Styela clava: one gene and its partner. The protein of the gene in region 1 interacts with the protein of each later gene in a pairwise test. Links are inferred from orthologs where the notes say so. Each region holds a gene or a part of one and is shown in the gene's direction. Other genes may lie near its edges.

What was found.
Region 2: the proteins of ADP-ribosylation factor-like protein 3 (region 1) and retinal rod rhodopsin-sensitive cGMP 3',5'-cyclic phosphodiesterase subunit delta-like interact in binary tests that used the Caenorhabditis elegans proteins (3 or more experiments, as listed by UniProt). The link is inferred for Styela clava from reciprocal best matches to the Caenorhabditis elegans genes arl-3 and pdl-1.

The regions. Positions count from the first base shown.
Region 1 is NC_135258.1:8,472,569-8,490,134, forward strand, and holds ADP-ribosylation factor-like protein 3, read left to right. Parts: upstream 1-7,107; 5' UTR 7,108-7,389; coding exon 7,390-7,392; intron 7,393-7,483; coding exon 7,484-7,627; intron 7,628-8,094; coding exon 8,095-8,262; intron 8,263-8,711; coding exon 8,712-8,897; intron 8,898-9,324; coding exon 9,325-9,375; 3' UTR 9,376-9,732; downstream 9,733-17,566. Other genes in the region: heme A synthase COX15-like, read right to left, coding at 9,787-9,918, 10,362-10,478, 10,926-11,080, 11,438-11,690, 12,357-12,543, 12,997-13,154, 13,719-13,841, 14,567-14,668. UniProt on the Caenorhabditis elegans protein: GTP-binding protein that may be involved in protein trafficking; may modulate vesicle budding and uncoating within the Golgi apparatus.
Region 2 is NC_135252.1:5,204,239-5,221,804, reverse strand, and holds retinal rod rhodopsin-sensitive cGMP 3',5'-cyclic phosphodiesterase subunit delta-like, read left to right. Parts: upstream 1-8,726; 5' UTR 8,727-9,129; coding exon 9,130-9,173; intron 9,174-9,677; coding exon 9,678-9,766; intron 9,767-10,135; coding exon 10,136-10,261; intron 10,262-10,905; coding exon 10,906-11,011; intron 11,012-11,806; coding exon 11,807-11,888; 3' UTR 11,889-13,249; downstream 13,250-17,566.

The DNA.
Region 1 (17,566 bases):
TAATCGCAGAATCAGAGAAATGTGTCACATTGCTAGGGGAGAAGAAAATCGAAAATCATTTAATCCAGAGATTTCCAAACTCCCACAATTTCAAAAAAGAAAACTCACAAATTTTAACCTCATGTATGTCTGCTTGATGTTGGTTTACATAATATAAAAATAGCTCAAAAACTGCTAAAGTAAGACACAGACTTCAGGACTTTATGATAAAAAATAACCTGTTTTGCCCTTTAACAGTTTTTATGTTTCACTAAAGCACTAACTGCTTATGTCAGTTTGTGTTTTTCATATTCCAGTAATTACTGAATTACTGAATTAGCAACCCCCAGATATGTAGAAAAATACACAAATAACTGCAGAATGATGCTTATTCTTCACAATGTACGCCACATCTTTCTACCGTATCTATCAAACATAGCCTACCATATCGTTAAAAGATACCGATAGTATTTTAATGAAACAGACTGACAGAGCTGAACAGAGTCAGGTACCGGTAGTCTAAACACAAAATATCCTAGCTGGGTTAATGCAGTACTAGGAGGCGTTCTCCCAGTTTGTGGTTTGTGAGGGCTTTAACATGCCTCGTCCCATTCAAAACCTGATAACAGTCTAATAATTTATTCTATCTTATTTGTACAAAGTCGACATACTGACATACCGCGAGGCTATTTAAGTATTCGGCATACTGGCGTACCGTTACAAAGTTTCAACAAAACAGCTCAACTTTAGATATAATCGTTCGAAATTTTAGACTAAAAATTCCTTTTGTTTTTGTGCTACAGTAATAAAGAAATAATAGATAAGTCCTCCACTTGCTTACGTCACAAGTGAACACACCACGCTGCCCGATGGCCATTTCCCGAACGCACATAACAAAAGCAACGAACTCGGCGAAGATCGCCTTTTTCTATTCTCGGCGACTTAGCTGTTTATTTATTAATTATTATCCGCGACCTGCGGATATAGTATACCGGTACGGATGCTCAGGAATAAAGACGTACTCACGGCTTTAGAAATGTATGACAAGCACACAAAATGCGGTTAGTTCTGACAGTGTCAGTTATAATACGTGATTCTTAAATGCAGAATGGAGCGGAGGAACTTTGGTTTCCACTGCGAACTTGTTTTTCGACAGGTCACGTGACTTCATTAATGCTCTCAGCTGCGAAATCCTTTTACGTCGCCAGTGGGCGACGCGAAGCTTTGCTGTAGTTTTCCCCATCCCGGTTTAAGACGACGATCCACATTTTTTGTATTGTATCAATACTGCAATACTGTTTTAGTAATGAAAACTCATCAAGAAAAGATGAACATCTTACGGACAAAGATGTCGGAATCAAAACGAAGTCCTCATAAAATGAGGACCGGGTTATTGGAAATTTAATAAACGACTGATTGGATTTTATCCAGAGAATTGAATCAATATTTAAGGCATGGCAATTAAACTAAGTAACTTTGATAATGCTGAAGAAGGAGCTTTTTGGAACACATGTATATCCAAAATAAGAATATGGGCAACTCATTGTAGTAAAATAAAAAAAGAAACAGTTATCAATGGGAAGATTAATTACTAGTAAAATACAGAGAAAATACAGGGAAATGCAAGATAGAAAACGAAGAGACTCTTCAAACAATACGTGACACAGAATTAGAAATTATGAAGTATTAATTCAGTGATTTCCCTACACCCCCCCCCCCCCCCCCCCTATAGGGGGTGAACACCCCCCCTAAAATTTCAAACACCCCCCCTAATTTTGAGGTGCGATTCCACACTGAGGGGTTCTAAACCGCAGTCTGCGGGCCAATTACGGCCCGCGTGACGATTTAAAATGGCCCGCCGAACTTGAGTGAAATAGTTTAACCCTTCATGTGGTACCTTTTGAGTTTTAGATACCGTCTATTGTTACATCATTATCACAGTTTAAGCACGTTTATTTCGTAACAATTGAATTATTCCGGTATCTTATGTATACGTATGGGTATTAGGATTACACACTGCAGTATTTTAGATATCAGCCGTATTTTAAGAAAGCTTAAAGATGTCACAAAACGAAAACTAGGCACTGAAAACAGACTTTTTTTAGATGAATGACAGCGTTGTTTATTTCTTTATTGAAAAGAATCAAACTTCAGCGATTTGTCTTCTTACCAACAAAATATTTCGGTTCTGAAGGAATACAACATTATGATCAGTTGACGAGCTTATTCCAAAATTTAATTCATACAAAAGTCAAACAAACATGTTCAAAAAAATTAGAAATGTGTAACAAAACAAGCCATAACTAGCCATTCATACAATGCCAGATGAGCAAGTAACTTCATTAGTCACTATCAGTTGCAACTTGCAAATTACTTGTTGAAACGTAGTAATATATATTTACGGTTGAAAGCCGTGCTTGTTATCTATTCCCCGGGAATTCTATCAGCTAAATATTATATTTATTGATTTCATTACATAACAAACTGCGATGTTAGGTGTATCTAAAATCAAGCTTAGAGCCTATTTTGGTGCCTATTTCTCAAAATTTTCTCAGGGCGCTTGAGCGTGTCGTCCCGCACTTTTCCTCGCTCCCTTTTTCTGGCCCTACAATTACATTCTGCTGTGGATTTTTGCTCGCGTCAATCAACTTGGGGGGCCCCCATGTAGCCTACATCGTTTCTTAAATACATACCATTTTTTTAAGAATACAAATAGCCTAGTTTTATATCTAACAGCAAATTATTTACCACCCCCTAAATTTTTAAACACCCCCCCTAAAAAGAAAAGCTGGGGAACATACTGAGTATTATAAACATAAATCGAAGGGGCAATAATTAGGGCAAGAGTTAAATGTTGAATATTTGTTAAATTTAGAGAAGTCCAAAGGTATAAAGCAAAAATTTTCAAGAAAGCCTGACAATACTTTAGTTTACACATGTGATGGATTTCAGGAAAAGCAAGTAAAATTTTATAAAAAGCTTTATCAGAGTGATGAAAATTCGAACATTTATTGTCAAAATCTTTTGTTAAATAATTCAAATCAGCAAAAAGTGTCAAACGAGCAAAAACAAGAACTGCTAAGCGAATTAACAGAAGAAGAATTAGAATAAGCTTTCAAACAAATGAAGTCAAATAAATCCCTTGGTCTGGATGGTCTAACAAAAGTTTGGAAACAATTTCGCCCAATACTTGTGCTAATTTATAATAGTTATCTTAAACAATCGTGGCTGTCTCAGAACACAAGTCTTGGTTTAATAACTTTAATATATAAAAAAGGATATAAAAATAAAATGAAAAATGGACACTTATTACGCTACTTAATTTCGAATATAAATTAAATAAATTAAAATAATATAATAATAATAAATCTCAAAATATTAAAAAAAAACTTGAAATTTGGCAATTATTTGATTAGATGGGTAACGCCAATGCAAAAATAATAACAAATGGATATTTATCGAAATAATTCAGTATACCACGAGTTAGACAAGGTTGTCCCCTTGCCCCACCTTTATATATAAATAACGTCCGAATTGTTAGCATCCAACATTCGATGCAATTATAGGTTTTCGAAATCGTACAGGTACTAGGGTAAAATATAAAGGTTTTGCGGATGACACTATTGTCACATTAAAAAGTTTATCCTCTATAGACGAGATATTAAAATAGAAAGCTACAGGCTCAAGAATAAATATTCCAAAATGCAACATAACGTTGTGCGGATCAGCAAAACGGCTAAACATAGGGCCATCATACAGGGGTATTCAAATTGAGAATGAGCTGAATATTTTAGGAGACTTTGTAGGAAACAGTATTGTATCGCGGGATAAAAACTGGTTGAAAATCATTAACTCTATTCAAATTGTAGTAAATTTGTGGCAGGGGCGAAATTCATTGATGATAGTAAAAATTATTATTGTCGAATCATCAATGTTGTCTTAGGTGTGGCACATTGCCAATTAGGAAATTATGCCAGAAAACTTCATTCAAAAATCAAATATGAACTCCCAAATAAGTACAAAATTCTAAGTTGGAAAATTTTGCCTATTCTACCCACAGGAGACAAATTAAAATATTGGTTCGATGATGAAAATGGAAAATGTGTATATATATATTTTGTAATGAAAATGAAGAAACCTGCATGCATTTCTTTTGGTATTTTGATTGGATATTAGACTTTTGGCAGTGGTGCAATATAAGGGAAATCAATTGTGAGGTAATTATTTCTAATAATATTCATAGTGAAGAGGAATCAATCATTCAATGTGGAAAATCGGCCATATGGGAATTGAGGAATAGTGTCAAATATGATGATGTATTCCAAATGCAATGTAACTTAAAGGCTATTTTTAAATGTAAACTCCTAGGTGTAATTAGATTAATGATTAATTTCGGCGGTCCCTGTTGAACCACCTTCATTCATTCGTGCATGCCGTGCCTCGAATCAACGCGATATCGCGTAATTAATTTCGTCCGGGATTGCCAAGAATGACGGTGATAAGACCTGATAATTGGAGAAGAAGTGCACCCATAAATCGTTTTGTTAATATGTTGTTGGACAAAGTCGTTTTATTATTTTGTTGTTCTCGTTTTTTATGTTAGAATTTTCCTTCTTATAGTTGTGAAAAAATCGCATTTCCCTTTAATTAGGCTACAGGACCCTGGACCGATTGCTTTGAAATTTTCAGTGGTAAAGATTGTATTTTTTGCTAGAAGGCTATTACTTTTATCTATTTTAAATATTTCTGTGAGCTACATGGGATTAGTTTTTTGTATGACGTCATCAAAATTTGCGCATATTGTGGCGGTGCCACGAACGCATATCTATATATAATTCACTTTCCTATGAATTGCTTTCGACATCCTCATTCTCGAAAATCAACTTTTCCCTTATGTCTATACGTATACTGTGGTTTTTGCAGTCGACACAAAACAAAAATTCTGTGCAATTTTGGTTATTTTTGACACATATGCATAAATTATTTTGACACCTATATTTCTTACACTTGCAGTTTGCCAACTCCATAACTGATTTGGATCCATCAAGTTAATCCGCAAAACACCATCATCAAAACCCCATTCATGGCCAATAGGTGGGGGAATAATTGGCTTCGGTTCTAGACAACAGTAATTTGCCCTCAGAACATGCTTCTGTAGTGAATCATTGTTGGGTGTGAGAGTATAATCCATATGTTTGCCGGTTTTGGAAAGGCGTGCCCTTGTATCATTTACATTTTTTATATCCTCTTTATACAGTGATAGAACAAATTCTTCAGTTTTATTTATAGATGCCCCGTTAAACTCAAAAGATCTTCATAGTTGAGAAAAAAGCTTAATGAGTTTCAAGTCTTCCAACATCAGTGCGATGGGAAGTTTCAAGTTTAGAAGAATGCCAAAGAATTTCAATATGAATAGCCATCTAAGCTGTTTGCAACTGTTATGATTTTCATATACCTTTTTCGATCCATTTTATTCTTACAGGTATAGCGCTGATCGCAGCAGCGACGATAGCCTGCGTTAGGTTGGATTGGTAGAACATTGGTGGCGTTTTCTTTGTAGTGCAGTATCTGAAATGACGAATAAAATCATATTTGACACAACATAAAAATACCATTAAATACTTCTTATACTGCACATGGAATTTCATCTGATGTACTACAGTCCTGCAGTGTTTTCATGCTAGACTATATCTACACTGATCTAGATGAATCGCACAGTTTGAAATGTCTTGTATTTTTTAAAACATCAACTGTCAGCCTACAACTTGATACATTATTTCTCACCTCTCAATCGCTTAATATCTTCAAGACGGCCTAACATCAGTAAAATTGGTTATTTTCTTTCTTCCTCGCAAACGTGCATTACAAAAACGGTCATTATTTTCCGAAGCAAATATGCTGTAGTAGCCTATATAGTAGTATAAGTCTGCTGAATATTCAAGAATCGTCATTAAATTAATCATGTACCTTTCATACAATCATAAAAATACCGTATCGTTGTTTGTGGCATATCTTTCAAGGTATAGTATAACCTTTCGCCGCACAGTACTTATTTAAAAACGTTATATGAGCTAGTGATGAACTAAAATTGCTATTAGGATCTAAGGGTGTTTAATAACTTACTCATAGTTTTTAATAGCGTCTTAGCATAACTTAACTAATACCTAAAAGCCGCCATCGGCTGATCAAATTTTAATTGTTCCGTCATGCAGAAGTCACCGATCATTGGCCAATGTTGCCCAGAGAATATAGGACAGATGGTAGCACCATTGAGGTGTATATAACCCATTGAGGTGTATATATACACCTCAATGATATAACCCAAGGGGTAGCACATATTTCTTTCAGTAAAGGCGTCTTTTTTGTAAAACGTGCAACTTTTGGAAATGGGAACAAGATATTATTTGTTACTAAATTTCTAAGGAACATTTTGATATTATTTCCAAGTAGTCCTCCTATGTGCGCTACGAAACTGAAAGATAAACGGCTTCGTCTCGCGGCCTAAGGCGAACGATCATTTCAGCACTGTGAAATAAGCGACATGGCGGCGAATAGTAATCTTAGCATAAAGCTATCGAGCAAACAGAATTTATTGAAATACAGTATTGTGTCCGACGTGTACTAATTTAATAAGTTGTGTATTTTATAGCATTGTTAGTTATGTGATTAATACATAATATACTTTTGCAAAAATTATCTTGACATGCGCTTCTGGAGGTTCCCGACTCCCCACAATGATATGGCAATACTGTAAATGTAATATATAGGTTTCTAATTTTTTAACCTCAGTTTTTATATGTAATTTTAAAACGAAATAATAACCAGTAATAACTGTATTTTACAACACCTCGAGAGATTTAATCTTTGATTGATAGAATTTAAAATTAATCTATCGCATAATCCGGCACACCACCACAATAATCGATCACGTGATGCTATTGGTCAGCTGTGCGTGACAAATCAGATGGTTTGTTTATTTGTTTTCTAGCTTTCTGTCGCTAACAACGCCATTTTTTGAAGTATAGCAGGTGTTTAGGACTTCTACTGAATTAGAACGGCGTTTTTCTTATGGGATCGAGCTTTTTTGATTATATACTTCAACTATAGCTTTATTTCATGTTTATTCTGCAGATCTGATATATTTACATTCACTAATATTCAACATAACCAGTATTCAAGGAAAAGACAGAAACAGAAAAAGGGTCCGTACCGCTGTGGCTGACGTTCTTCTTGGAATAGATTGGAAACGAAATTGATAAATTGTGACTGAGACGAGAATTTTGTTCATTACTTCTTAATCTTCGACAGAAATTTTGGACTGCAAATTGAAGATTAATTTACAATTTTTCTGCATGATTTTTGACAACAATTTCTAAACTTTTGTGATACTGTAGAAGATCTTGGAATACAATGGTGAGACATTAGAGCGTTATCGCTTTTACAAGTTATATATTTTACTATTTATTTAATTTACTATGTATCCATATTTTGCTACAACTTTCAGGGGTTATTGAGTTATTTGAGGAAACTTAAATCTGACAGTGTCAAAGAGATGCGGATACTTTTGCTTGGTCTTGATAATGCCGGTAAAACAACAATTTTGAAGAGTCTAGCTTCAGAAGATGTCACACACATTACCCCCACACAGGTATTAAATTTTATTGGTAATATCACAGCGGATAGGCACCTTTCTTCTTAGTTTATCTAATAGTAGGCTACGTAGTAATAATGATTCTAATAAATTCCCGAACACAAGACTGAGTTTTGATTTACTGTAGCCTTGTTTGAAAATAATAATTCACAAATTCATGTGGACCTATAAGACATTTGGCCATAGATGGGCTGAATAAATATCCATGGAAAAATACACACATATTTACATACTCAACCGGTCTAATTTTACCTAGCTGTCAGGAAAGCTTTTAAACCTATCTGTCTAAAGAGTACTATTATATGGGTTAACCAGTTGTGATGAATTTAATAATCATTTTAATGAAGACAGTAGATATTTATTTGTTGGTACTAGATGCACTTAATAATGTACCATAATATACAGATATATCCTCGCCTAAAATATATGAACCAAGTGAGTTATGTTATAAAAAACTTTTGCAGGGTTTCAACATAAAAAGTGTTCAAACAAAAGGATTCAAATTGAATGTGTGGGATATTGGTGGTCAAAGGAAAATCAGACCATATTGGAGAAATTATTTCGAAAACACGGATGTGCTGATTTATGTTGTGGATAGTGCTGATAGAACTCGATTAGAGGAAACAAATTTAGTGAGTAATATATTTTGTAGCAATAGGACTTCTACAATCTTAACTGATCTATGGATACATGTAGCATTTTATCAACTATTAGTGATGCAAAACCAAATTTTTGAAGATTTTTCTTAGGGTCCCTTTATTTATTAAAATATGGAGATGTTGTTCCACCATCAGTTTGAGGTGTTCATCTTTATAGCCAAAATTGTAACAAAATTTTAGACTTTGTTTAATACATCCCTTAGGAAATTGATTAAAAATGGCTTAGGCTTTTCCAGCATATGAGTTATCAAATGGCTATATACAGTGGTGGAATTCAATTCAATTTTTTTGTCAGCCGGTTCTTTTCACCCGGTTCTGTTACAAAATGTTCGCTGATCTCGTAAAATTAGCGAACCGGCTGAATACAAAAAAACGATTTTGACATTTAGGAATTAATTTTGTAACATTTTCAATACCCTAAGGAATTGGAGGAGTTATTCAATGAAGATAAGTTGTTGGGAGTTCCAGTTCTTGTCTATGCCAACAAGCAGGACTTATTACACTCAGCCAAGGCGTCAGAAGTAGCAGAGGGACTCGGACTGGCTAAATTACGAGATAGAAATTGGAATATACAAGGATGTTCAGCATTAAGCGGAGAAGGTCTTCAGGTACGACAAAATAGACATTGTGTTTGCCGAACTGTGACAGTGCTATGAATTATTTGTTACCTTATATATTATTTATTCATTGATACGCAAACTGACACAGCATAAGTAAATTGAGATGGAGCAATAAATATTAAGTTTCAACAACTACAGTAACCATTGATTGCAACCATGCCAGATGGTGTGTGGGCCTTGGGAAAGTTATTCTCTACTTAACAACATATTAGTATTCAAGTGATTGGTTGTAGGTGGCTTCCACTAGTTTCTCTTTGCCTATATTGAAACTCCAATATGAGAATTTAAGCATAACTCGCACTCTGGCTTTTGTATCGTCCAAACGTGTGCATGAATACTACACCAGAATACAAAGTAAGATTTCATCCCTAGCGTCGCACGAGTGAATATATTTTTTCTTAACTTATTCTCATAGGATGGCATGGAATGGGTGATGAAGAATGTTACTAAACACAAGAAAAAGTGAACAACCTTGTGCTTTTTGTTTAATTGTAAAATGGGACTTCAGGTTCAATCCAGCCAGTGGCATCCCTAGTTCTCCACCATCACTGCGTTTTGTAAAATCTGTACATCGTTTGTGCTCATTGTGCATATATATCTTGGTTCTTTATCAGACCGAATATTTCTAAGTATTTGCTAGTTTATAGCAACAAACCTCCTTTCTGTACGTCTTGCTTTTTAAATTTATCGACATAACCTGCCTAAAAGTGTATATGGTGCTTTCAATGGTACATTAGGAAATGACATAATTGTATTTATATTTGCAAGCTGTAAAAAAATGCTGATATTTATTAAATTCAATATTATTTGTAGAATTCTGCCATTCTTTTGTTTCTTCATCTGTGCATAGTCTCTGCGGTGGAATAGTCAGTTTTGCTTACTTAGGTACACGTCTCAGCTCATGAGCCAGCCATGTCGTGAATGATAGGAGAGTAAGAGACCCTGATTGATGCATGGCCGCTGTAGATGTTGGAACATAAGTCAGCAAAGTTGTTACTCCCAACAGTACCTAGAGATATGTTAGAAAACTGTAACCAGATCTTCATTACTGAACAAGGCGCACCAGCACTAATTGCTGAAGGCAAGAGGCAAGCACCTCTGTTTACCTTAAGTGTGCGGGGATATGGACCATTTAGTGATATAACTACCCGCATAAATTTCTCCAAAATCAAATAAGCGGCCATCTACCCGCATAAATTTCTCCAAAATCAAATAAGCGGCCATAATTTGCAGTTTTACACACTTTGCTCTTTCCAAGGATAAACAAATTTTTTTAGGCAATTCCACATTATAATGATTTATAGTCTCGGCAGCTCTTTGGCACTCTAGTAGCCACCCATAACATCTCTTGGAGACGAATCACTGAGTGGGGGCACTTCACCTTGATTTGGGGAAATTTCCTCATGAAAAATTATTATACAATTTATAAGATTTAATTTAACAACAACTCACCTGAATAAAAGCCATTCCCAGCATAAAATTAGATGCAAGTATGGCGCGTGAATGGACACCTGAAGATCTTCGTACCATATACCACATACTCATGACTGATGCTAAACTAAGATGACCCTGCAAGATAAAATAATACCGGTGAAACTGTATCGAGGAGTCCAACAATCCCATCCCAGGGGTAGGCAATTACTTTTTTGAGTGGGCCTATTACATTCATATAAAAGACTTGGTTACTGCGACGGAGGGCTAGAACTCGATATGAAAAACTATGAATAAAAAACAGTTTATTTACAACAGCTGGGCTAATGGTTATATAATAATAAGAAGCACTAAGTAACAATTCGGGTCATTATGACATTATTTTTATCGACATATTCAACAGAAATTCAACAGACACAAATGGGCCAGATGAAACACCTCAGTGGGCCATTTCCACGGATAGTAATATGCCCACTCCTGCCTTATCCCCATAGGATGCAAAGCTGCACAGGTATCGGTGGTGCAGTGGCAAGCATGTTCTCAAAAAATCCATAACTGAATTAGTTTTGAATGAAATGGACTTACTAATATTCTATGATCGAACTGCACAGTGGTAGGATTTTCAAATATATTAAGCCATTTCGGGGTGAACGCTGTTAGGTCACTTGGTATCCACCTGTCTGCCATCTTGGGATATGAATTATATACAAGTCCTGCATCTAGACCAGCCACAAATGCACCTGGAGAACAAAACATGTGTTCAGAAGAAATCAAACAATAATCGAAGATATCTAGTGTATCCCAATCAGGCAGCTATCAAACATCGATATGCAAGCAAAAGGGTACTCCCGTCATGTGTGTACCGAGACAGGCCATAATTTTTTTCTGAATTTCCTTATTTCAGTTCTATTATGAGTTTGGGGACTGTCTGTGTTAGGCAAGTGAATATACCCCTTGCCCATAGGCTTCAGTCCCACAACTTGATGTAAAGTAGGCAAATAAAATTAGTTACCTCCATACTCGTACACACACTTCTGGAGATGCTATTGGCCTCAACTTCAATAATAAAAAAAACTTCAAAAACTAAAAATTCCAACCTGATAGAGCAGTAACAAAAACAAGGCTCATTAAGCCATATGCATGATATCGAAGCACCAATTTTCGCGTTGTTGATAAATTTAAAGACTTTTTGGAAAGTAATTGCGTTAATGACATCCATAGCATCCCAGTATAAAGTAGAAATGCTGAACCCAAGTGTGTAGCGAGTCTGTACTGGCTGACCCTCGGTACATCTGAATCTGCAAACCTCTCTTCGAGTCCACTCTTAACCATGAACCAACCGATAAGTCCCTTGAAAAAGAGAAAATCTAGTTAAGGACCGACAAACACTTAATTTAGAGTCAGAGTGGAGTGGAGCTGGAGTCTTATTTTCAAATTTTGCGAAAATGAAGTCGGAACTGCAAGCTTTCATTGGGTATAAAGGACGCAAATTTTCTACAGAAATTAAAGAAGATATAAAGTTTACTTAGATATAAAGTGTTCTTAAATGTCTATTAAAGAAGGTTAGCGAAAGTTTTGTTATAAATATTTGATTTTCCCTGAGCAAGGGTCAGAGTGAAATTTTTTACGATATGGAGATATTTTGAAGCCAATTGTAAATGAACAGAAGATCTGGTAAAGTACTGGAAGCTGAACCAAAATTTTTGAAATCTGGTGACGCAGCTATGGTCAGACTTGTTCCAAGCAAACCAATGTGTGTCGAAGCGTTCAAGAATTATGCTCCGCTTGGTCGTTTCGCCGTCCGCGACATGCGACAGACTGTTGCTGTTGGAGTCATCAAGGAAACTACCAAAAAGACCGGGAATGTGAAAAAAACCAAGGCAGCAGCGAAGGTCAATAAAAAAGCAGGAGCCAAGAAGTGACTGGAAGCATCTGGCCCCCCATCAATTGTTTTTCAATTGTAAATTTTCCTAATTTCAGAGACCTGGTTCCAGATTCCCTTCTAAAAAATACTACCTGTGAAACAAGAAGAGTTCCCAGTAATCCTGACTTGATTTTCATTCCTCGATTTAACCAACCTTTCTTCCAGAAGTAAGCAAGTGGTAGAAGATAGACGACACCAATTAATCTTCCCCACATTCTATGACTGTATTCCATGTACCAGATAAATTTAAATTCTTTCAATGTCATATCATGATTCAATCTGAAAATGTAAAAACTTGATTTTTAATATTAAACTAACCTAATGTTAGTCAAGTGAGGAATGTTTGGTTGGGTATCTCACAGGCTGAGAGCAAGTCATTTCTAGCCTCAGGTCAGCTTAATCATTGTTGGGTAGAAATCCTTAAAACCGAGTCACAAGTCAAGTCACAGGTCTTTCGAATCGCAGTCGTGGTTAGTTAAGTAATTTTATTTAGAGTACTCGAATCTCTTCAAGTATTTGATAACCAGAGTTAACCATTAATGAAGTGATCTAGGATTTTAGTGTTACTTCGCTTCATCTTGATTATTAATATTCGATTTTTAAACAGACACAACTTTATAACTTGACTTATATTTTTAGTATTTTTCCTAAATTTTTCCTATTTTGAATTCATTGCATTTTCATTTTATTCACAGTATTTATATTTTATCAGAATATTTATCAAACACTTACATTCGGAACTCAGGAAATTGTTTATATTTGTTGAACTCATTCTCCCAATCCTCTTGTGAAGTTGGTGGTTTCATACCTTTGATAAGATGCCAATCAACCATAGATAACCCAGATTCTGTTAGTCGAGTCACACCACCCAAAACGACAGCACCAACCACCTACCCTGACAAAAAGAAAAATAAATCAGTGGCAATCACCAGGAACATTTTTGAATTGATATCTATAAAAACACAGACATATTATACAGTCAGAATACAGACCTTCAAGATCATAAATTATATATCAAAGGACAAATTTTTGGCCACCTTGGGCCATTTTACTGTCCTCCATAGTCAGAAAAGTTATTCAGTTGCGCAGCATTTTATAACAATCTAAACTTAATATTTTTCCTATTCATACATTGCTTGTCTACAACATTTTTTTTTCAAGACTCCCAATTTGTCGAATTCCCTTCGGTTAACAGTATTGTATTGCATGATGATATGTTATAAAAATACCATCTCATCATGAGTGACTCACTCACTCTTCTGTCAATAATCTTCCCATTTATAATTGAGGACTCATGACAGTGTTTTTATGCAAATTCACATATAAACTCATCAATTAACTCAAGTTAAGGCATACTATCTACCCATTCTGAAATGAGTACGAAATGATTTGAATCATAAGACTGTCATGTCAGCCTTTCTTTACTAACTGAGAAATGTAAGAAATAAACAAACCAGGCCACAACATCCAGCAAGCCACCATCCGATTATTTTTTGACCAGGCTGATGAATTGGGAGTTGTTTTGCAATATCTGCAGACTTACGCAAAGGTGAAACCCATTTGAATACAGCCGATCGCTGAAAAAAAAGTTTATGAATGAATAGGATTTACATATTTATCCTGGGGGAGAGGAAAGGAGATAAGACGGCTTAATCATATGGTGAACCACAACTTCTCGTCAGGTTACAAGTCTATGTCGGGTATGGGATTAGTTAACCAGTTATTTGTTTTTGGAAGCATGGACTTGAATGCAGCAAATCAGTAATCCAACTAGAGATCCTGTATTCAAAAAGTCAAGTGATTTATTCTCTTGTATAGGGCAAAGCAAAAGCAATGTATAAAAAATATATAATGTTCCTCATTTCAGCATTTACCGTATATCCCGGCGAATAAGTCGCTTTTCTAGACCCAAATTTTTGGCCTGATTTTGGGGTGGTCGTCTTATTAGGCGAGTATGGTAATTTTGATTTTTTTGGTGTCGCCTTATTATGTATTAGATATTGTTTTTTTATGGTGGACTCAATTGCGAGTTGAACATAGTTAGATTAAAATTTAAAGACAGTTTGAACTCCCAAAGTTACCGTATTATGGATTGAATATTACGCTACAAGAAAGCGTCATTATAGGCTATTTTTGTATTTATAGTATTGTAGCTTAGTTCTATGATAGAGTGCTGACTGCTTTTTAAATTTTCTAACACCATATTATCAAAACAATAAATAATGAGATGCAAGATCTAGAATAAAACTTATAACAGAATCAAAACCAATTGTTTTCATTAATTTTTTAAATCGAAACCCACCTGATTTTTTCGAAAAGCTGAATACTGTCTGTTTGTGAGTAAAGATAGACGTGCCTGTTGAAAACCTTTAGATAAGGTAGAACACTTCAACCAAAGGCTCATCTTTTCTGTATTGTGATACAGTAGGTGAAAGGCAGGAATCAGACAATCATCGAAAAAATGTCAGGGATTAGGTACGGCACGGTACCCTAGCTTACTGCAGTACTAGAATAAGTATAAGTTTATTTGACTCCATAATCAGCATAACAATAAAATGATTTGTAAAAAAAATAAATAAAAACCGATTATGAAATCAGGAGAGCAAACAAAACCTTAGATAGGTTTAAAACGTACAGAATGTATAAAAGATGGAAGGTTTTGCCAAGAAGAATACGCGGGTCTAGTATAGTTTAGTACCACAAGAACTTCCAGTTGGGGTAGTAAAACAATTTTTGCATATGTTATTCCTAACCCTTACCTGACTATGCCATCCAAAAAATAAGGTCACTTCGACGTCACCATCACGTCAAAGGGGTTGCCAAAGTATAATTACGATCGCCCGAAATGGCATCTGCGCCGCCGATAAGAACTTGTTAAAGCCGGCGATCTCTCTCCTATCGTGATCGTTGCGACGAGAGAAATAGCTTGCTCGATTTCGGGTTATCGTCTGCGCATTTTAGACGACCATCCGCATACTTCGGTGGGCCTTATTACGCCACTGTGACGTCGGAATGACGTAATTTTTCGATGACGTAGTCAGGTGGTGGTTAGGATTGACATATGCAAAAATTGTTGAGCCAGGCCAACTAGAAGGGGATGTGGTACTAAACTAGGATAGGATTAGGATAGGATTTATATATTTATCCTGGGGGGAAAGGAAAGCCGATAAGACGGCTTATCCATTTGGCGAACCACGGCCTCTCGTCCGGTTACCATTCCAAGTCGGGTATGGGATTAGTTATATTGTTTGTTTTTCGGAAGCATGGACCTGGTGGTGGAGGAAGCCGTAACCGACCAGCGGTTACGTGAACCACCCAACGACGGCGAGGAGTCCAGCAATCCTCTCGCACATAACCATCCCTGCATGGGATTCGAACCTGCGAACCCACGCAGAGTAATTAGAGGTGCGGTGGCGAGCGTATTCCTAACGCTTAGCCCGTTGAGCCTCACCGCCGCGCCGTATTATACCATACTATACTACCGTACTATAACGTATACACCGTACTATACCATACCCAAATACGCTACCGTATTCTATAATTACCGGTACCGAATTATGCTAATCAATGGAATATCAACATTATTAATTTAAATTTATAGCATTAATGCAGTAATAGCGCGCAAATTCGTACCACAATACGGTACTGCAATAACTTCCAGTGAGCAGATTGATTGTGACGACGTAGACTCGATATCTGACTGTCTGATACAACAGAACGCCGCAGTTCTGTCTCGCGTACCGGTACGGTAATACACAGATCACAGACGTTTCGGCCCATAGACAAATACACGTTTCTCAACAATGCGCGATGCGACAATAGACGAGTCTATCTTTACCGAAACAGGTAAAATATCCATCAAACTGAAGCTACCTTAACGGTCCTGTAGCTGCAGATATTTTGCAAGGGTCATGTTCTCATGTAATACACAGTACTATTTTGCACAATTTTTCTATTTAAATGAACGAAAATAGGGGATCAAAAACAACACTTTCGCGCCGCGCATTGGACCCCGGATAATTCCCCCAATATCACTCCACGTTTTACGCACACAAATTCTATAATTTACAACATTATGTTCCTCCAAGTGTGTTCCCCAGCTTTTCATTTGTCGAATTTGGTGGGTGGTAGAGAATATGCAACTTTCAGGGTTTCCTGTTCTTGGAATGTCCTGATATCAGCGAACCTGTTTCAGACGTTAGGCGTTCTCTGTAGACTAGCGTTATTTATATTTGACGTTCAGAAAGTTATGTATTATATATATTTATTTAAAGCGCATCGTGTTGATGTAGATTACGCAGTGACGTAGGTACATTTCCCGAAATAAGAAAACTTTTTAGTGAGTTCGATACGAAGGAGAACTCGTGTTTAAAAAATAGAATCCCACCTCTGGTTAGCCTTGTTGCAAAATACTTTTGTAGCTAATGTAGAATTGAGTGTAAATTCGGTAATGTCATGTGGTATTCGTGTCTCATAGAAAAGCTGAAAATAGTTGTTCGTTTTCAATTAGAGTATTTGAAAAATCCCGAATTTTAATATTTTGTATGATTATGGGCTGAAGACAGACAAAAATTGAAATTACTCTTTTGATATTTAAATTATTTCTGATGAAGTATTTGACATTTATCAAACATTTTCTCTTCTGACCAGCAAATCATTCATTTCAAGATGCCAGAACAAACGCCTAAAGGCCGTTTAGCAGGTTCATTCTAATAACATGTCGTGTGTGAATACATGTATTAGCTACATGACATATTCGTGAAATTCAGAAACATCCGTCGAATCAACCTTAGGCCTATTTGCAGGCTTGGGAATTTTTATATAGGATTACGTTTTGTGCGTCAACATAATTATCATTGTGTTAACTTTTATTTATTCCTAAATTTTCTATGAATCCTATGAGATCTGATATTTCATCCAAAATTTCACTGTATTATTTCTAATCTATGGGAACACGGTTTTGAAAACTGAATCATGCAGCATAGATCATCTTCACAGGACCTGGAAAAGTTGGGACAGTCGGCGTACCGTAACCGGTACCGTGATTCAAGTACTGGTAAGTTACCGTGGCGGTTCAGGTTTGTTCAGGATACCTTGTGATTTACGGGGAATTGATGGTAAAACATTCCGTTATGAATTTCGTGTCCATATATTTGAGCATAGTTTTTGTTAGTTATATAATAGTTCTGAATTTTAAAAGTTAACAAAATCAAAGAAATTGAATGTTTCGCATGTCTCTTTGTGGTGACAGCACATTTGAACCCATACATTTGCACCCGTATTTTCGCGGGTTCAATGTATA
Region 2 (17,566 bases), on another chromosome or scaffold:
AAATGCTGGTTAGGAATATATAAACCAGTTTATGGGCGCCAACTTGCAAAACCACTTCTATAATAAGCATTAAAAACTTGGTAAAGTGTGGGAAAAATGTTCCGAGGGTCAAAGGTCGTGGATCTGGGTAAACCTCACTGAACTGGAAATATATGGGACGATATTCTCTTTCGTTTCGCGTTGTCTCAGCGCGGGATCAATTGATCGCCGCCATTTGGCATTTATGTTTTCAAACTATTTTCGTGTTTCACTCTTCTTTATTACACCAGCATAACACACAACTTAATGCGTACAGCAACAGATCAAACTAGCGAATGACGCGACTGCGACACGTTAACACTAGACTAGACAGATAGCACGATAAATTATTAGGGAGGTTACTCGACGAGACATTATTAGCAGTGGCGGCGCGTGGTCATTTTGACAACCGGGGCAAGCTACTGCGGGACCAAGCCACCCCCATCTACGGGGACAGGATGAGCGCTGTAAGTTCTCCCATCATTTTATGAGTATAAAAACTATTCCATCGGTAACAACCAATCGGCAAAAGCGACAATTTTTAACGATAAGAAAGTGTCTTTAAAACCGGTCCAAGTCAAGGGATTAATAAATATAGACATAGTTTATTTTGAAACCTCTTTCAAAAGGAAAGGCAATAATACAATTGTAGCCAATTAGTTGTTATGTAACTACAAAACTACACCAAATTGGCCCAATTCGTGAGAAACTCATGAAAACCAAAATTAATTATTCCCGTTATAGCAATTATCAATTTCTCAAAATCCAATTTCAAGATTCAATAGCCTTTCGGTGCCATCCCATGTAAAAATAAAATTTATTTCCAGTAATATTCCAATAACGTAAATTCGAAATATCTTGTTAAAACCAAATTATCCACTTGAGAACAACTTTTTACATCTCATAATTGGAGTAAGTACGTGACCAGGAACACGGTGACTTGGCAATAACAAGTTAATTGCTAGTAATGAACTTCAAGAAAACACTTTTAATAATGTTTGATTATAGTGAACCGAAAGCTAACCAGAAACCGGAATGACGCGTGATTCTTTAATCGTTAATGTAAAAATCTGTTTCTTTATTCTATTTTAATTGCTTGGTAGAAAGCTATATATTCAGCAACGTGTTTTGTTTTAATCAGACTAGATTTGATCAAATTGTGTGTACATTGTATTTCTGTATATATTGTCGGAATTGCAATAAACTCATAAGGTGTTTTCAAACGTCTCTTTACTACAGCCGAAGGCTATCGACTGATAGACAGTTCGAGTTAACGAACGCAAGACAAAACTATTGTCAGTCAATGCTGGGGTTATAACACATAAACCAGACCAATCTACAAACAATCTATGTGTAGTGATAACTAATCACTATACAATGACATATCAATGATAAATACAATGACATATTAACAGAAACTTCGGGAAAGCAGACAAAACCTAAAATAAGGTTTAAAACGTTACCAAAGGAAAGAGAATGCAAAGATAGGGACATGCGTCGCTCACTCATAGATATATGCTGCTAGACTTCTACTGCTTGAACATATATGCAACACGCCGCGGTTTCTTGGAAGCAAAATGCTCAATAACGCGCTGATTAAAGTCATGCATCCCAGAAATAACGTCTCTGTGAATGGATAAAAAAGCCAAGGAATTTAATCTATCTTGCTTCATTGTGTTTCTGAGATACGTTTTAATACGCTTCAGCGTGCTGAATGTTCGCTCTGCGTCGGCGGAAGAAATAGGCGTCGTCAAAATGATGTCCAGAAATTTTGCAGACGCCGCAAAGGTAGTTACTAGAGTGTTATCTATGAGGAACCCATAGAGCGCGCAAGTTGATGTGATGTTCAAAAAAGTTTGATTGGTGTATATACATCGCAATTCATTTTCCAATTTACCCACGTTTATCATGGGGTAAAATTTGGAGACAGTAGCCAACAAATGGATGGGAAATTGACGTGCAAATTTGAAAAATTTTTGGGGTTCATCAAAGAGAACGCGGCAAGGTGTTCAGTGCGCAGACGATCGCCTATTTGATTCACCAGAATGTCACAGCATTCCTTTCAGACAAAATCAAACGCTGCGTTGTTTACCCGCGGCGTAAGGAGCACTCCATGTGTCGTCGTATTTTATTGTTTCCCGGATACGAGATACAGCATCGCAGAAGTCTGAAATACACGACTGCACAGACGCTCCATCCATGATAGAATATTGTGAAAAAAAAAGCGAGAAAAAATGAAAACTCACCATCTTCTAGCAGACGCTTTAGACCTGCCGCCTCCCTCACAGAGCGTTCGTCCCAAACCGGAGAGCTCTGAATGCCATTGAAACACTCAATGAGCTCAGACCTAATTTCGGACACGCCCTGCACCACGCGTGATTGGAAGTTCCAACGTGTTGGTGCACAAGCTGGGAGACGGCGGCTACATATCTGGCGAAGGAGGTCAGAGCGCTTCGGCGAAACGGAAAAAAATGAAGAAAACCCCGAAACATTTGCAAAAAATATACGGACGAGAGGGGTATCAAGACACATATTTTTAATAACGAGGTTAAATTGGTGTGCATAACAATGTAGAAAATGCGCATGAGGAAAATCTTCTTTTATATAAACTTGAACACCATGTTTCGACCCACTCATGACTGCCGCGCCGTCATAAGTTTGAGCTATCAATTTTGACTTCGCGTTGTAAGGCTGTAACACTTCTTTCAGTACAGCCGATATCCCGCAAGCCGTGCGATCAACGATTGGTACAAAGCTGTGAAATCTCTCGGTAAATAATAAATAAATTTTATACATTGAGTCGAGCAAATCATTTTGGATATCCTTAAAAGTCCCTTTCGAAACAGTTGCGGCATCAAGATGATCTCTCAATACTGTATCTAGGGATGCGGTGTATTCCACCATATCCAAAAATACCCCTCTATTAGAAGAGCCAGCCCGTTCATCGTGCCCACGAAGGGACAGCTCGTGACAACCAATGAACTTCAAAACATCTATCAATCGACCGAGAACATGGCGGTTTTTCTCGACGTTTTGGTTGTGCCGACGAATAGAAACCGCGCGTCCTTCATCCAACTGTGCTGCAATATTAACATTTTCGAATGTTCGGTATTTTACTGCATTGTCCAGATGCTCCATAGAAGATTGATGATCCCTGGCACGCTCGGAAAGATGTTTAAGATCTCTAAAACCAAATTTACACCAACGTGAGTCTGGGGCGGTAGCAAAAAGTAGGCAATAAAAACAAAAAAGTGCATTTTTGTCCTCGCTGTAACACAACCATTCGTGTTTTTTATACCAAGTTTCTGCGCAGAATGTACGCCGACGCTTTCCTCCGTCATGGGATTGTTCCAGTGAACAATTTTTTGGTTGATAAGGCCCAAGACGTTGTACCTCTAATTTTTGTTCCAGCGGCAGCTGCGAAAACGGAGTGCGAAGTAGTGCATCAACCTTATTCATTATGAGGTCTAAGGCTAAGAAATGCGAAGCCGGATAGAGGTGAGGAGCTCAAAAGGAATGTGGAAAATCGAAAGCAAATGGACTAAAGGTCTCTAACTGATTCAAATAGCGAAACACGCGACAAAAACGAAGGCGAGGAAACTATCAAATCTTCAAGCAACCAACGAACGAGAAGGAATGCGAGAATATGTCAACACATTTTTGTAAGAAACGTTGGCATTGTGTCGTCATAATTTCGGGGCTAGCCCCGATGATTTTGTAAAAGAAACAGAAAACAAACGCGGCGAGTGGAAGATAAAAGAGAGAATACGATATACAATGAGCAACCGGGGCAAAATCGGCGTCGCCCCGTCGACGTTCGGCGAAGGCTTTGCGAGCGAAAAATGAACCACGTCGGGAGAATATGGCTGGTGTAGACAGTCTGTGCAACCGATATTGAGGTATTTTTCGAATATTTTTTATTATACCGAAAAAACAACCGGGGCATTGCCCCGGTTGGCCCTATTGACGCGCCGCCACTGATTTTAGCCATCATCAACGACAACATCCCAATTTGTTTAAGATAAATTTCACAAATTATTTTCAAATTCAAAATAGAAAATATTCACTTTTACTTATTACACAAGTCATGATCATTACCATCAAGGCACATAAATGAGAGCAATAATATTTAACACTCAAATTCAAGTTAAAGCCACTACTCAGTCACATAGTCTTTCATCCAAATATGAGGTTTACGATTTCGACGAGGTCTGGTTGCAACACGATTCACGATTATTTTTAGAAGAGTTGAATGAATGAATGAATTGATCTTCATTCGTGTTTGTAGTCCTTTTCAGCATATTCTTCAGAATCTTCACCCACGATTCAGCTTTTCCATTCGCTTGTTGATGCACATGCGAAGAGCTTGCATGCTTGACTCTTCACTCTCTCATGAATTCGACGAGTTCAGTACTTTCAGTACTTTCACAATCTGGGATAAATATCCATGATAAATACCATGTCTGGCAAAATGACGTTTTAGACATATGATGATTTGACGTTATTTATATTCTGGACACCTTCTTCAAGCGTTTTTATTTTGGTCATGTTTCTTCATTTATCGAACATGGCTTAAGGTTCTACACTTCACCCGGAAATTATTTCTATCATTGCACGGGGGACATGTTTTCACGTAGACAGGGCAAAAATATTCAGAACCTGCGCCTTCGTCCACAAAATTTGAACTCTTAGTTTGCATTCGGAATTCGCTTTTTGTGTTGCTGAGCTAGGTTCATATTTCGGCGTTGTAAATTTTGAGTCGACAAAATTCGTTGCTCGCTTTCCGATGATGCACGAATCTTGGATGCAGAATTTCTTGTAATTTGCCATTCAATGTACATACGTTTTTCATTTCTTATCATTCGCACCTTGTTTTTTAAAATTACAGGAATCGCTTTACTACGAAATTCAACGAGAAATGTATTAATATTGTCTTTGTACTGGGCATTGAAAAAGCGAAATGTCTCTATCACTTCATTCTTCCGGAGATTATAGTATTCAGTAGGGCTGGGAATGGTTAACCGGTTAACCGATTTCAGATGGTTAACGGTTACGATTTATTTTAATCCTTAACTGACATCTCAGGTACAAATCATCTTCATACCGTACAATTTCTTCAAATATGATTACGTCATCGCAAATTTATCTCTTGTGGCATTTAATGAATATTATTAACTGTGTGAGTAAGGACTGTGCATAATGGAAGTACCAAGATTGCTGATTATGGAAATCTGACAATGATGAATTCAGAATCAGTTTTCGGTCGATTTCGAAATAGTGTTTACGATTTCATTGCAAAATCGGATATTCAATGTCATACAACAAGTGCGCAGTTGATGGCGTTTTTCTTTATATGATATATACTCCGAAGTAAAATTTGCACATCGAACACTGATAATTTGTGACATAAATGACGTTTAACAACGGAATCAGGTATTCTAAAATACTTCCACATGCCCGAACCACGCTGCCTATCTCGTGCAGCAGAGTAATCATGAAACTATCTCGATTCGTGAATAATTTTAATAAGCGATACCGGGATAAGAACACGCGAAATTGCTTTATAAGCATTGAGACGTAACAGGCAGAAATTATAGATTATTACGTCAAACGTCACGCGGCGGTTAACCGGTTAATTTACCCGGTTAACGGTTAAAGTGTTTTCCCTGAAATTCCCAGCCCTAGTATTCAGCCATCTTCTGTAGTCATCTTCGTCTTCAGTCTCACTATCATTTCAGCACCTGCAATATGAGATTATGGGATTTTGTTCTTCCTTTAGGTCCGCTGGCTCATGAAAATATTTGATCTGGCTCTTCCATTTCTTGAATGCTCCTGATCGACAGTAAGCGAATTTCAGACACCGCTGCCACCATGTAAATTGAGACATTGCGCCAGCTGAAGGATGTCTTAGGCCTAGGCCTATGTCAAATAGGCCTTTTTCAAAAATTTGGTGAGCGGTCTCGGATAGCAACTTTCCACACTCAAAATCAGAAGAAAAGAGCCTACAAAACTATTGAATGGTAGAAAGTTTGCAAAAAGAAAAGGATCCGAACTCTGGTAGAGTCCCCAACGTGAATATCTATTTCGACGATCATGGCCGCCGAAATACCATGCGCGTCGCGTTTGCATTGTTGTATCCGATTGAATTTTGTATTGTATTGGAATTTAGATACCCAGACTTATGCTGCACACTCTTCGTATATCTTTTCTCAGATGTATAACCTATTTATGATCTTGGTATGATTTGGGTTTATGGGAATAAACAACATTGACCCAGGACTTCCATTGTCTAAAAAAACTCTAAATCCGGCCCTGTCCTTCGACATGGATATTTCCTACATACCGATTTGTTGTTATTAAAAGATCATGTCGACACTAGTGCTTTATCTCAGGGCTTCCCAAACTAGGGGCCGCGAAACGAATTTTAGGGGCCGCAAAGAGAACACCAATTTTACACAAAATACCATATATATTGACTATTGTACTTTTTTCAGACTCTTGATTCGAAATACAATTATTATACAAATAGTGTAAAACAAAGATTTCACGATTCCGAGTGAATACATCATCATAATACCGTGTTTTTCCAAAAATAAGACACTGTCTCCAATTTTCTTTCGAAAATAACACTAGGGCTTATTTTTGGGATACAGAATAATGAGATTTTTTTATTATATATATATGCAAAATATGAATACCTATTTCCATTTACTTATAAATAGCACGTTTTTATTTTAAATACCTGCTACATATAGACTTTTACCCATTTAAAAAAGTAGAAAATATTTCTTGCTATCGACTGGGACGCAGTGGTTCTCGAACTTCATTGTATTGTGACGCCCTTCAAAAATATGCTCATATAAACGATTAAACAAAACTTAACGACAGTCAGTGAAATCGCAATTAATGGGCCTTGGTAGAAAAGGCTGCTTTATATAAATACGAAATCGCAAAGAAGTTGGGAGTGCGCAATGCTTTTGGAACCAAGGACAAATAATCTTTATCTACAGAAAACCGAATTTCCAGAATAAAACATTCCTATTATAGCAACATCACAGGTAGGATCGATTTAATCTTTCTTTTTTCCAGTGAAAGTAGAAGATATGGGTTTTTGAAAGGTTCACGAATCACGAAATTTTGCGACGTCCTAGCAAAATTAAAACGACGCACTTCCACGAGATTGAGTCAAAAAAAAAAAAAAATTCGCGCTATCGACTAAGTCCTTTTTGAAGCCGAGCTCTTATATTGAAATCTTTTTAAAATTCAACCTTGGTCTTATCTTCGGGGAAACACGGTAGAATGATGGCGCTTGCATAACAATGCATATTCTGATCGTGAAACCCGATTTGCGGTTTGCATAACAATGACGGCTCTAATCGTTATGCTAGCGGTTTCCGAAGACGATTTGCTGAGTGCGCCTCGAAACATATTACATATCATATTTATTCTAAATGTTTAATTGTTTCAAATGACGTGTTTATGGATCAAAGTCATTTTGCCGTTCTATGTGTTTACTTTCTGTACGTAGGGTCTATTGTTACGTAATATAAGAGATGAACCCTACATGCTGCAACCAGGCAGTGATAAAAAAGAAACGTTAACTTTTTGCCTTTATTCATCGGGCTTACATGATTAAAAACCTCAAAAGACATTTAGTTCATATTAACGATGACAAAATTGTGTTTTGTTTCGAGGCAGTATATTTTTCGTGTAGGTGCGCCATGAGTTTTTTCCCTGATAATTTGGCGTCGAACAAAATGCTGCCTTATGCTAAGTTTGATCAATTAGAGTGAACAATTCGAGATAAGGACCATGCCGTCAGTAGCCATACAACGTAATTCATCATTTAGGCCTGTATAAACATACATTGAGCCTTGCTATGCAGCAAAAAGCATTCGTACCCATTACACTGAATAATTGAGAAACGTTAATCTGAATAAATATATGCTTGTTTTTGTTATTGAGTAGACATGTTAAAGTTGAGAATTAGCTCTGCCAATAAAACATCAAAAAGGCATAATTCGAACTGTTTGGCATTATTTAACGTGGACAAGGGCCGCGAAAAATTTTACTATATTAAAAGGGGCCGCGAGCTCAAAAGTTTGGGGAGCCCTGCTTTATCTGGTAGAAATTTACGTTTGGCCAATGATGATTGTGACAGCACGAGCAAGTTTGAAGGCTTGCACATTTTGAGTAGACTTCTCGACTTCATGGGTATATTGAATTTCGTGGATTTTTTTTTGGATTAATTGGTTTTGTTGTTGGTAACTTTGAATTTTTGCTCGAGTACTCTTTAAGAAAACCAAATTTCACTTTGCTCACGAATGTTCAGGATAAATTTCACTGTAAATGTTCATATATATCGACCGAACACAGGAACATGACAACAGCAAATCTTTGCCAGAAATGTGACAGGCATAGGGGATTATTGCGTTTCGATATAATCCCCTATTTGTATGTTAATCTACTAGCGATCGAATTCGCTTCGACACCATTTATCAATACCGAAAACTGCATACCAGTATGCAACGTTTTTCTGTCAGTTATCGATCGTTTGAACGTGGCCTACACATTATAAAATGTGTACTGTGAGAGACAGTCAGTAAGACGCCATCTTGCCTCATTGTGCGATGCCTTTTCGAGTTTCGTCTGACTGCCTGGGGTATATCGCTCTACAGTCTAACAGTAAATAGCAACCAAGGGCTCGTTCTGCTGTATTGCAGTGTCTATATCTATACTAGCAAGTAGTGAAGTTAGTTCTGTAGCCACAAATAAGGGCACTTCACTAGGATATGTATTAGTAGGATGGCATTATCTTCACTACTCTTAATAACAATATATAGAATATATATATACAAGAAATGCTTAGTCATGTTAGCACAAATAACTGAATACGGGCACTGGGATATGTATTAGTAGGATGGCATTATCTTCACTACACATAATGACATAGTCACATTACAGCATTTGTAATTAGGTACCGTATTCTGAAACTGTAATTACTTGTCCAGTTACCGTATATCTGCAACAAAGGCTTGAACTACTGGACTTGAGTTATTCGAGTGACAAAATTAGCTTAGTACGTGGTAATTTAATACCTGGATTACAAATATGACTACAGAAAAGGCCAAAAATATATTGGAAGGTTTTCAACTGTAAGTTTTTGTTCAATATTTACATTAGGCAGTCTTAAATGATTGAAATACATTGGATGATCGAAATAAAAATGGAATTGTAATGTTTCATTGTAATACAGTACCGTACTTTATGATATTTGCATATGTTTTGAAATATTTTACTGCAGGTTTTGATGTTTTATATATTTCAAATCACTGCTGTGGTTATTCATGATCCGTCTTGATTCTCAACATTGAGCTTTCTATGAGAAAATTATCTTGATTTAGTATTTTTCTGTTTTCCTTTTTTACTGTTATTGATTACTTTGTTCAAATAACTTAGGGAACTGAATTCAGCAAATATTATTTAAGAGCTGTAGGTAAATATTCACAGACTGTAAACAGCACTAAATACAGAAATAGCACACAAATATGAATTATCATAACTGTCTGTCTGTAAAAAATCTATGCTACAATCTTCTGTGTATTTAAATATTTATTTATTCAAGATTCATGTATCAATTTTCAACTTTTTATTTATAGAAATTGGATGAATTTGCGCGATGCCAGTTCTGGCCGAGTTTTATGGCAGGGCAGCGAAGATTTGTCAAAGCCAGAGCAGGAGCACGAAGGTAACATGGTTTGCAGAATTGGTAAAATATTGATGAAATATTTTTTCCCCATCTGTATTGCGCAATATATGTATTAAGTTGGGTCAATTATCATAGATGATAAAAGTTCATTATGCCACCACAGCAAATGTTGAAAAAGAAATTCCAGTCCAGTTTTCAAAATATAAGGCTACCACAAGACAAAAACAAATTGATTAGCAGACCTCAGCCTATTTTTTTTGTTACTTTTTGGCAGTGATGTTCATGGTGAGCGGCTTTAAAATTTGATGTTGTCATTAAAATTTATTGGGTCATTTATGCTCAAAATTAGCTGTGTAAATATGTGGCCTCACATCCTCTGTTATATTTGTTTATCAATATTATTTTTAGCTCGAGTACCTAAAAAAATATTGAAATGCAAAGCTGTGTCAAGAGAAATCAATTTTTCCTCAAAAGAGTCTATGGAAAAATTCAGACTGGAACAAAAAATAATTTTCAAAGGAAGAGTACTTGAAGGTATATTTTGCTACATTTTTGTTTTTAGTAATTCTGAACTAGTATTGGCATTTTAAGTCAATCACTTATTGTGAAACACATTGTTGTTACTCACCGTGTTCTGTTGAGTGGATGACCCTTTACTGAGAAACCTCAACCTCTCTAACTGACTACTCAATGAGGGATTTTTAGCATTTTGAGTATACATGCGTTTTATGGAATAGTAACTAATTTATTCTGAACTTCCTAATTAATCACATATTCATTTTGCAAGAGTATGAATAGGTATAATTTTCTAATATGTTCTTGTTAAATTCTTGGATACTGGTTCCCGTAGTGTGTGTACCAGGTTAGGGTTAGGCCATAATTTTATTCTGATTTTCATCATTTTAGTTCTATTACGAGTCTGGGGCCTGTTGTGTTAGCCAAGTAAAAATACCCCCTGCCCATAGCTTGCAGTCCCTTTATACAACTTGATGTAAATTAGGCGAACAAAATTAGTTACCTCCATACACGTACTTCTGGAGCTCCAATTCTTGTACTAACAACTGTATTATCGAACCATACCTGCCTAACAAAGTTTATATCTTCTTTATCTTCCACTGTTTAATAGTTTTATAATGTGGTATTTGATAATGTATGAATCATAATTCATTATATTGCAGAATGGTATTTCCAATTTGGATTTGTGATTCCTGATTCAACAAATACATGGCAGTCGACAATTGAAGCTGCACCACAGGGGCAAATGATGCCTGCTAGTGCTTTAAGGTAACATCTTAACAAGTTTTGTTCCGCTCTTTGGAAATACTCAATGTACAAATAATATCAATTTAATGAATTGGATGCATATGCTGAACTATATAGAAAATAGTTATGTTTCAGGATGTGATGTTTGCTCTTTCATTTTATCCAGTGCAGACATTCAACCCCAAAGGTACTCCCGTATTTGTGTATCCGGTTAGGGTTAGGCCATAATTTTATTCCGGTTTTTCTTATTTTAGTTCTATTTAGCCATGTGAATATACCCCCTGCCTATAACTTTCAGTCTCTTTACATAACTTGATGTGAAGTAAGCGAACAAAATTGGTTACTTTCATATTGGTACACACACTTCCCTTTCTGATAAATGGGTTGAAAATTATATTTTTATTGTAGAAAAGAAGACCATGGGTCATAGCTATTTAAAAAAATTTGGCATCAATGAGAAAGTTGCTGTTGCAAATTTACTTATAATCTTTTGTTGGTATTGTGTACTTTCATGCTTTCACATGCACCATTCATATCAGGACTGAGGCAATTCTGGTAGTCCATTTACTCAAAAGCGCGCTTTGCATTGTTATGAACTGCCAAAATGGTGCGGCAATCTTTCTGTGGTTTTAAATGGGTTTGGAAGAGCATTACAGTCTGAAATATTTGCATTTTTCAATAGTATTTTAACCGCATCATAGTCACTACAATCCAGCTCTATTGTTGCTTGAGATTTCTGTGGATGTTACGTATTTGCTTGATCCTAGCTATCGATTATCATATTCTCTTTACATGATTTTGCTTTTATTTTTTCAGCGGAAATGTTATTATAGAAACCAACTTTTATGATGAAGATCTTCTTGTGAGTCAATCACGTGTTCGAGTATTTTATGTGTAATGTCAGCTTCCCCTGCAACTGAATATTCACACTTACCTTATTACTACGAATGGTCAAAAAATCACAACATTGAGTGAATTATCAAAGTTACAGGGAATGACTATGCAAAATCAAATGGAATCTACGAATTTAATTTTTAAGCGCATTTGACTAAGCACTGCAATAGCTAAATAGATGTTAGATTCACTCAGTCTAGATATTCACTGTTAGTTTCATTTATGATATTAAAAATTAGGTACTCCCGAAGTATGTGAACCAAGGTGGCGGACACTGAACCGTAGTATGTGTACCAGGTTATGGTTAGGCTATATTTTCAGGTACGAATACTACAGGGATCCCTTGGGAGTCACATAAGGTAAATTGGAATAAAATTATGGCCAACCCCTAACCTGGTACACATACTACGTTCTGGTGTTCGTCATCTTTGTTCACATACTACGGGAGTACCAAAAATTAATCTGTAATCCTATCATCATTCGTATGTGATGTTTTAAATCAAAACGTGAGAGAGTTCAAATTTTTATTTGTTTATGTGTTACTGAGTCTCTATCTATAAAGCTGAATTGAGGCTTTTTATTTGTTGCCAAGGAATTCATTTTTTAAGTTTATTCTAACAAATTTTACTTATTAATGGTAAAGGGTACATCTGACCAGCAGTTTTGTCATCAATTAGATATTTCCAAGATGCAACTGTGGCGATTGTACAATTGCAACTTGTTTTAATATATTATTTCTATCTTATGCACTTTCATATGTCTACAATTTTACCAATTCAAGACAAAAAGCGGGTGCTAAATATTGTACAGACATTTTTTGTATTTTAAGTTTTTGTAACCAGTGTTTCTCACAAGTGTGTGTGTGTGAATTCTGTAAAAATGCACCTGTCCGGGAAGGGACCTTGTTCTAATGTGATAGTTGTTTCGTGATTTAGCACCCAAGGCGGTGAAGACTCAATGTCGATTTGGTATTTTTAATCGATTGCATCTCAAATTATAACATATTAATGTAAAAAGTACAATGTTTTCAAGTAATATATTACTTTTTGCTAATTAAGCAAATGAATAAATAGATTTTTTTGTTTTATACATTTTCAAGTACTGTTGGCTCCCTGTGTCAAAGCGTTTGCCTCTATCATTATTAGGTAGCATGGTATACGTTTTATTAGTTTTAACTGCAGTGCTGTCAATTTATATACAGTTAACCAAAGTAAAGGTTATTGATTGTCATTTTAAGCACCGTAAGAGCGAAATCTTTGGAATAGATGAGTCAGTATTCCTGATCCCGAAAAAATTCGATATTTTATAGTATGGTAAATAATATAAGTTGTGTACGAAGAACAATATACTGCAAACAGCTCTTCACGATTGTTTATTTTCAATTGTTTCTTGTCAAGGCACGGGCAGGACAATGTATTCCCTGATAAAGAATACAATATACATAGTTCATAATTATGTAAAAAGGTGTTCATGTTCTTTTCCTATTTGCGACAAGACTCCGGAAATATTTACGGGTAGCTTGGTCACTGTTGTGCAACCTGCGAGGTTTCTGGTTCATCGGATGGAAAAGGAACGAATAACGCCGTCTTGGTAAAATGGTATGGCGATCGTTTCCATTTTTAAAATCCATTCGATTGTGTGACGGGTGCGCAATATGCGTCTATATTAGATGAAATCTTCGACGCACTGATGTGTTTTAACTGCGAAATGGGCATGAGACCAGAGCACCTACGACACAATTAGTAATTATCTTACATTGAGATAGTTACTTGACGTCGTTAACGTACTCGTCTATCACCATAAATATTTGTTACACCACAATCATGTATAGCTTTCGATGCCGTAAAAGGGTACTGGAATAATAATGAAATTTGTGTCCAAGGTTGTTGGAGCTCTCAGGGCAAAAGAAGCCGTGACTCTCAATCGTGAATAGAAATGAGCATGCTAGTATTATAAAACTTTGTTCCTCGTTAGAAGAGACAAAGTTCCACAAAACCAGGTGGCAGACGGATTTTTTTCAAGACCAAGACAGCAGTAGATATTTATGTGTCTTAGTTTAGGAGCGGACGTATCTGCCCCTTTCCCCCCAACAATTTTTTCGTTTATAGGAACACAACGTATTAATTCCGGCCTATAAAATGGTCATTGCATGAACACACGGTAGCATAATAACTGCATAATAGGCCCTGTCAATTGGTTCATACTAGCCACTTTTTCTGCGCTCCAGTAACTCCGCCATTTACTCGATTTATCATATAAAAAAACACGGAGGATTGCGCTGCATTGAGATTCGACTTTGTAGCAATTAACTGGATAATTTTCCGACCCATTAAATCTTTTTCATCGTAGACCCGTTAATATAAAAAAACAGGATAGTAGTCCGACCCATTAAATCTTTTTCATCGTAGACCCGTTAATATAAAAAAACAGGATAGTAGTCTAGCGACAAGTAACGGGAATTATGACCTCGTGTTTTCTGGTCCGATGAAGTTTTATCACAGCCTTGAGTGCAAATGTCCATGGGGGCAGATGTACATAAATGCAAATAACCTTCGGTCCAAATGTATATGGATGCAAAGCCCGTGGGTACAAATGTCCCTGGCGCAAATGCACGTCAATGCAAATGTCTAGAGCGAAAATGTACATGGGTGCATATGTACATGAGTGCAAATGTTCGCAGGTGCAATCAATATATATATGTAGGCTTACCATACGTCCCGCTTTAGGCGGAACAGTCCCGTTTTTAGCGTGTTGCGTCCAGCCGTCCACCATAATACACGAACATGTTCTCGTTACTGTTGTTGCTGTGCAGCGCAGCGCTAGCCCACTTGCTGGAGGTGAATGCGTTATTTTGTTTGTTTCGTTGTTTCCCGTAACGTAGGGGAAAGTGGGGAAGGTTGGGACACTTTTTTCCCTATGCAGATTTTGAGCCGTTTAATCTGTACCTTCACTTAACTTTGCGGGACTCATGCAGTGAGGGGTAAATGTAGTTTTTTATTAAGCGACTAAGAAATTCCCTTGCGACACACATCTTATCACCAAAATGTTTTGAAAAATGTTTGTCAATTGTCCCACTGTACCCCACTTGTGGGGCACATTCGGACAGACCCTGGGGCACATAGGGTCATTCTGTTAAAATTCAACGAAGTATGCCCTTAAAAATGAGCAATTAATTAGCATAATCGTCTAACTCCAAAGAACATGGAGACTTCAAATTTGAAGATTTGAGATGTTTAAAATCACCGCGCGGCGGTGTGGCTCAACGGGCTAAGCGTTAGGAATACGTTCGCCACCGCACCTCTAATTACTCTGCATGTGTTCGAATCCCATGCAGGGATGGTTATGTGCAAGAGGATTGCTGGACTCCTCGCCGTCGTTGGGTGGTTCACGTAACCGCTGGTCGGTTACGGCTTCCTCCACCACCAAGTTCATGCTTCCGAAAACAAACAATATAACTAATCTCATACCCGACTTGGAATGGTAACCGGACGAGAGGCGTGGTTCGCCATATGGATAAGCCGTCTTATTGGCTTTCTTCTCCCCCGGGATAAATATGTAAATCCTGTAAGGTTCAACCGAAATATTTCAGATATTTCAACAAAAAATTTCGCAAACAAATTAATTTATTTCCTTTCTCGAATCTAAATCTGGAAATATTTTTGATTCTCGAATATATTTCATATTGGGCTATGGGTCGAAATATACCATAATATTACACAAAATATAAAGTATGCCTAGGTCTCTAAGCATTTATTGTATCAAACATTGTCAAATTGTGCCCTGTAGAGCATGTCCCACTGAAACCCGGTCCATTGTTCCCCATAGGAAACAACTATTTTTAGACCATCACACGACGAAATTCGGAAGGCGCATCCACTCGCAGTGGACATTTACAGTGGACTAAAGCGGATAGCAGTGGACTATAGGATTAGTGTGAGAGCTGATTTTCCACCGTGCCCCATGTCCCAACGTGACCCATTTTCCCCTATCACATGTAAAATCAACACTAATTGGTCTTGTTCTGACGTTTACGTGAATGTAACTTTGAACAACGTCTTTTTGACGAAGGCGTTATCTACGGAAAAGCATGCTTGGGGGGAAATAAGTAAATTCTCAATTCTTGAAAACGGCAGGCTATCTTTCTTCCTTTTGCTGTACATAAAAAAATCTAAATTCGAATTATTTGTACCAGTATCGTTAGCGTCAATTCCTTTCTATTTTTCGAACTGAACCCGATATTCAGACAGAGAATATGCGCATGAAATCTCGATAGCAATATGGTCAATGAGTACAGCCGGGATGGCTTTAAATGTAGGCCTATGTAGTAAAATCGAGAAATGTAAATTAAAAAAATCACAGCTCACAAGGGGTCGTTGTCTTTGGAGGCGTCCCGCTTTGAAGTCACAAAAATATGGTAACCCTATATATATGGGTGCAAAAATCTGTTGATACAAATGTTGGTAGGTACAACAGTATGCGGGTGCAAATGCCCTAACCGCAATTTACGGATGCAAATATGCTGTCACCACAGTGACCGTATATGAACTACGGTCACAACGTTCTACACAGAGCTCTGATTTTGCATATAAGCATTGCAATGCATGTTTTTTTTTCATTTCAGGAGCATCTTATTTTTCGAAAAAATTGTCAAGTGATTTATCATCTGACATTTCTCCAGCAGGCTGGAAAAACAAGTCCAACGTCAAGCTGTCGTCCATTCATGAAGGCAGAATATCAGTGATGCACTATAAAGTATTGATTGTCAAAACAGCAATAAACAAAACTATAAAATTGCCAAAGTTGGGGCAAGAGCATAGGATATTTAGTTTAGACAGAAAGCCGATAAGATGTCCTAATCACATGGTGAACCACAGCCGTGCAACAGTACAGATCAGGTAAGCAAATAGCTGACATTAATCGTTCGAAAGTTATAAATTTGTATGCGAAGAATGTATGAGTTGACTAGTAGCCATCAGATGGTTGACACCTTCAAAAAGATGAATACCTATACTAAAATTTGTTGGCGACACCTAACAATGAAATGCAAAACTCAAAGGACACTGAAAGTGGAGTGGCAAACAAAACAGACGTTGAATTGAGTTACAGTTTATGTTGAAGAAAGCACGCGTTCAGTGCGGTAAAATTATGCGCAATAGTCAGCATTTTTATAAAATTCTTACAGCCTTTGAAACACAGGATAACATATGAATAAAATCAGCGCGTAATTCATGCATGGGATTATTCCAAATCAATAATATCTGGTATAGAACTTTGACATTGTCTCGTGCTAACTTTAAAATCGCGAGATACTCCCACTGGTCTTTTCTGGCAAACTTATGTGGATGCATTTATCTTCACTCCTTTCTATGTATGTAAATTTTATTTTATTGGGCGTGGATCTTGTATCATATCTGACAATCTTCAGTGCCGCACCGTCCAGACAGAATTTTTGCGAAACTAATAGACTTGAGGATGTATGATCATGTATTCTAGTCTAGGTTATGTATAAAAATGTTTGATTAAGCTTTTGTAGTTGGATTTATTGCAGAAAATACAAATCCAATTAGTAATTGGTTTGATTTGCGTTGAGTATATTCACAAACGCTTGCATCACGTCATTTGTTAGACGCACCATGCCGAACTATGCAATCATAAATCAAAGAATAGATACGTTTGCATTTT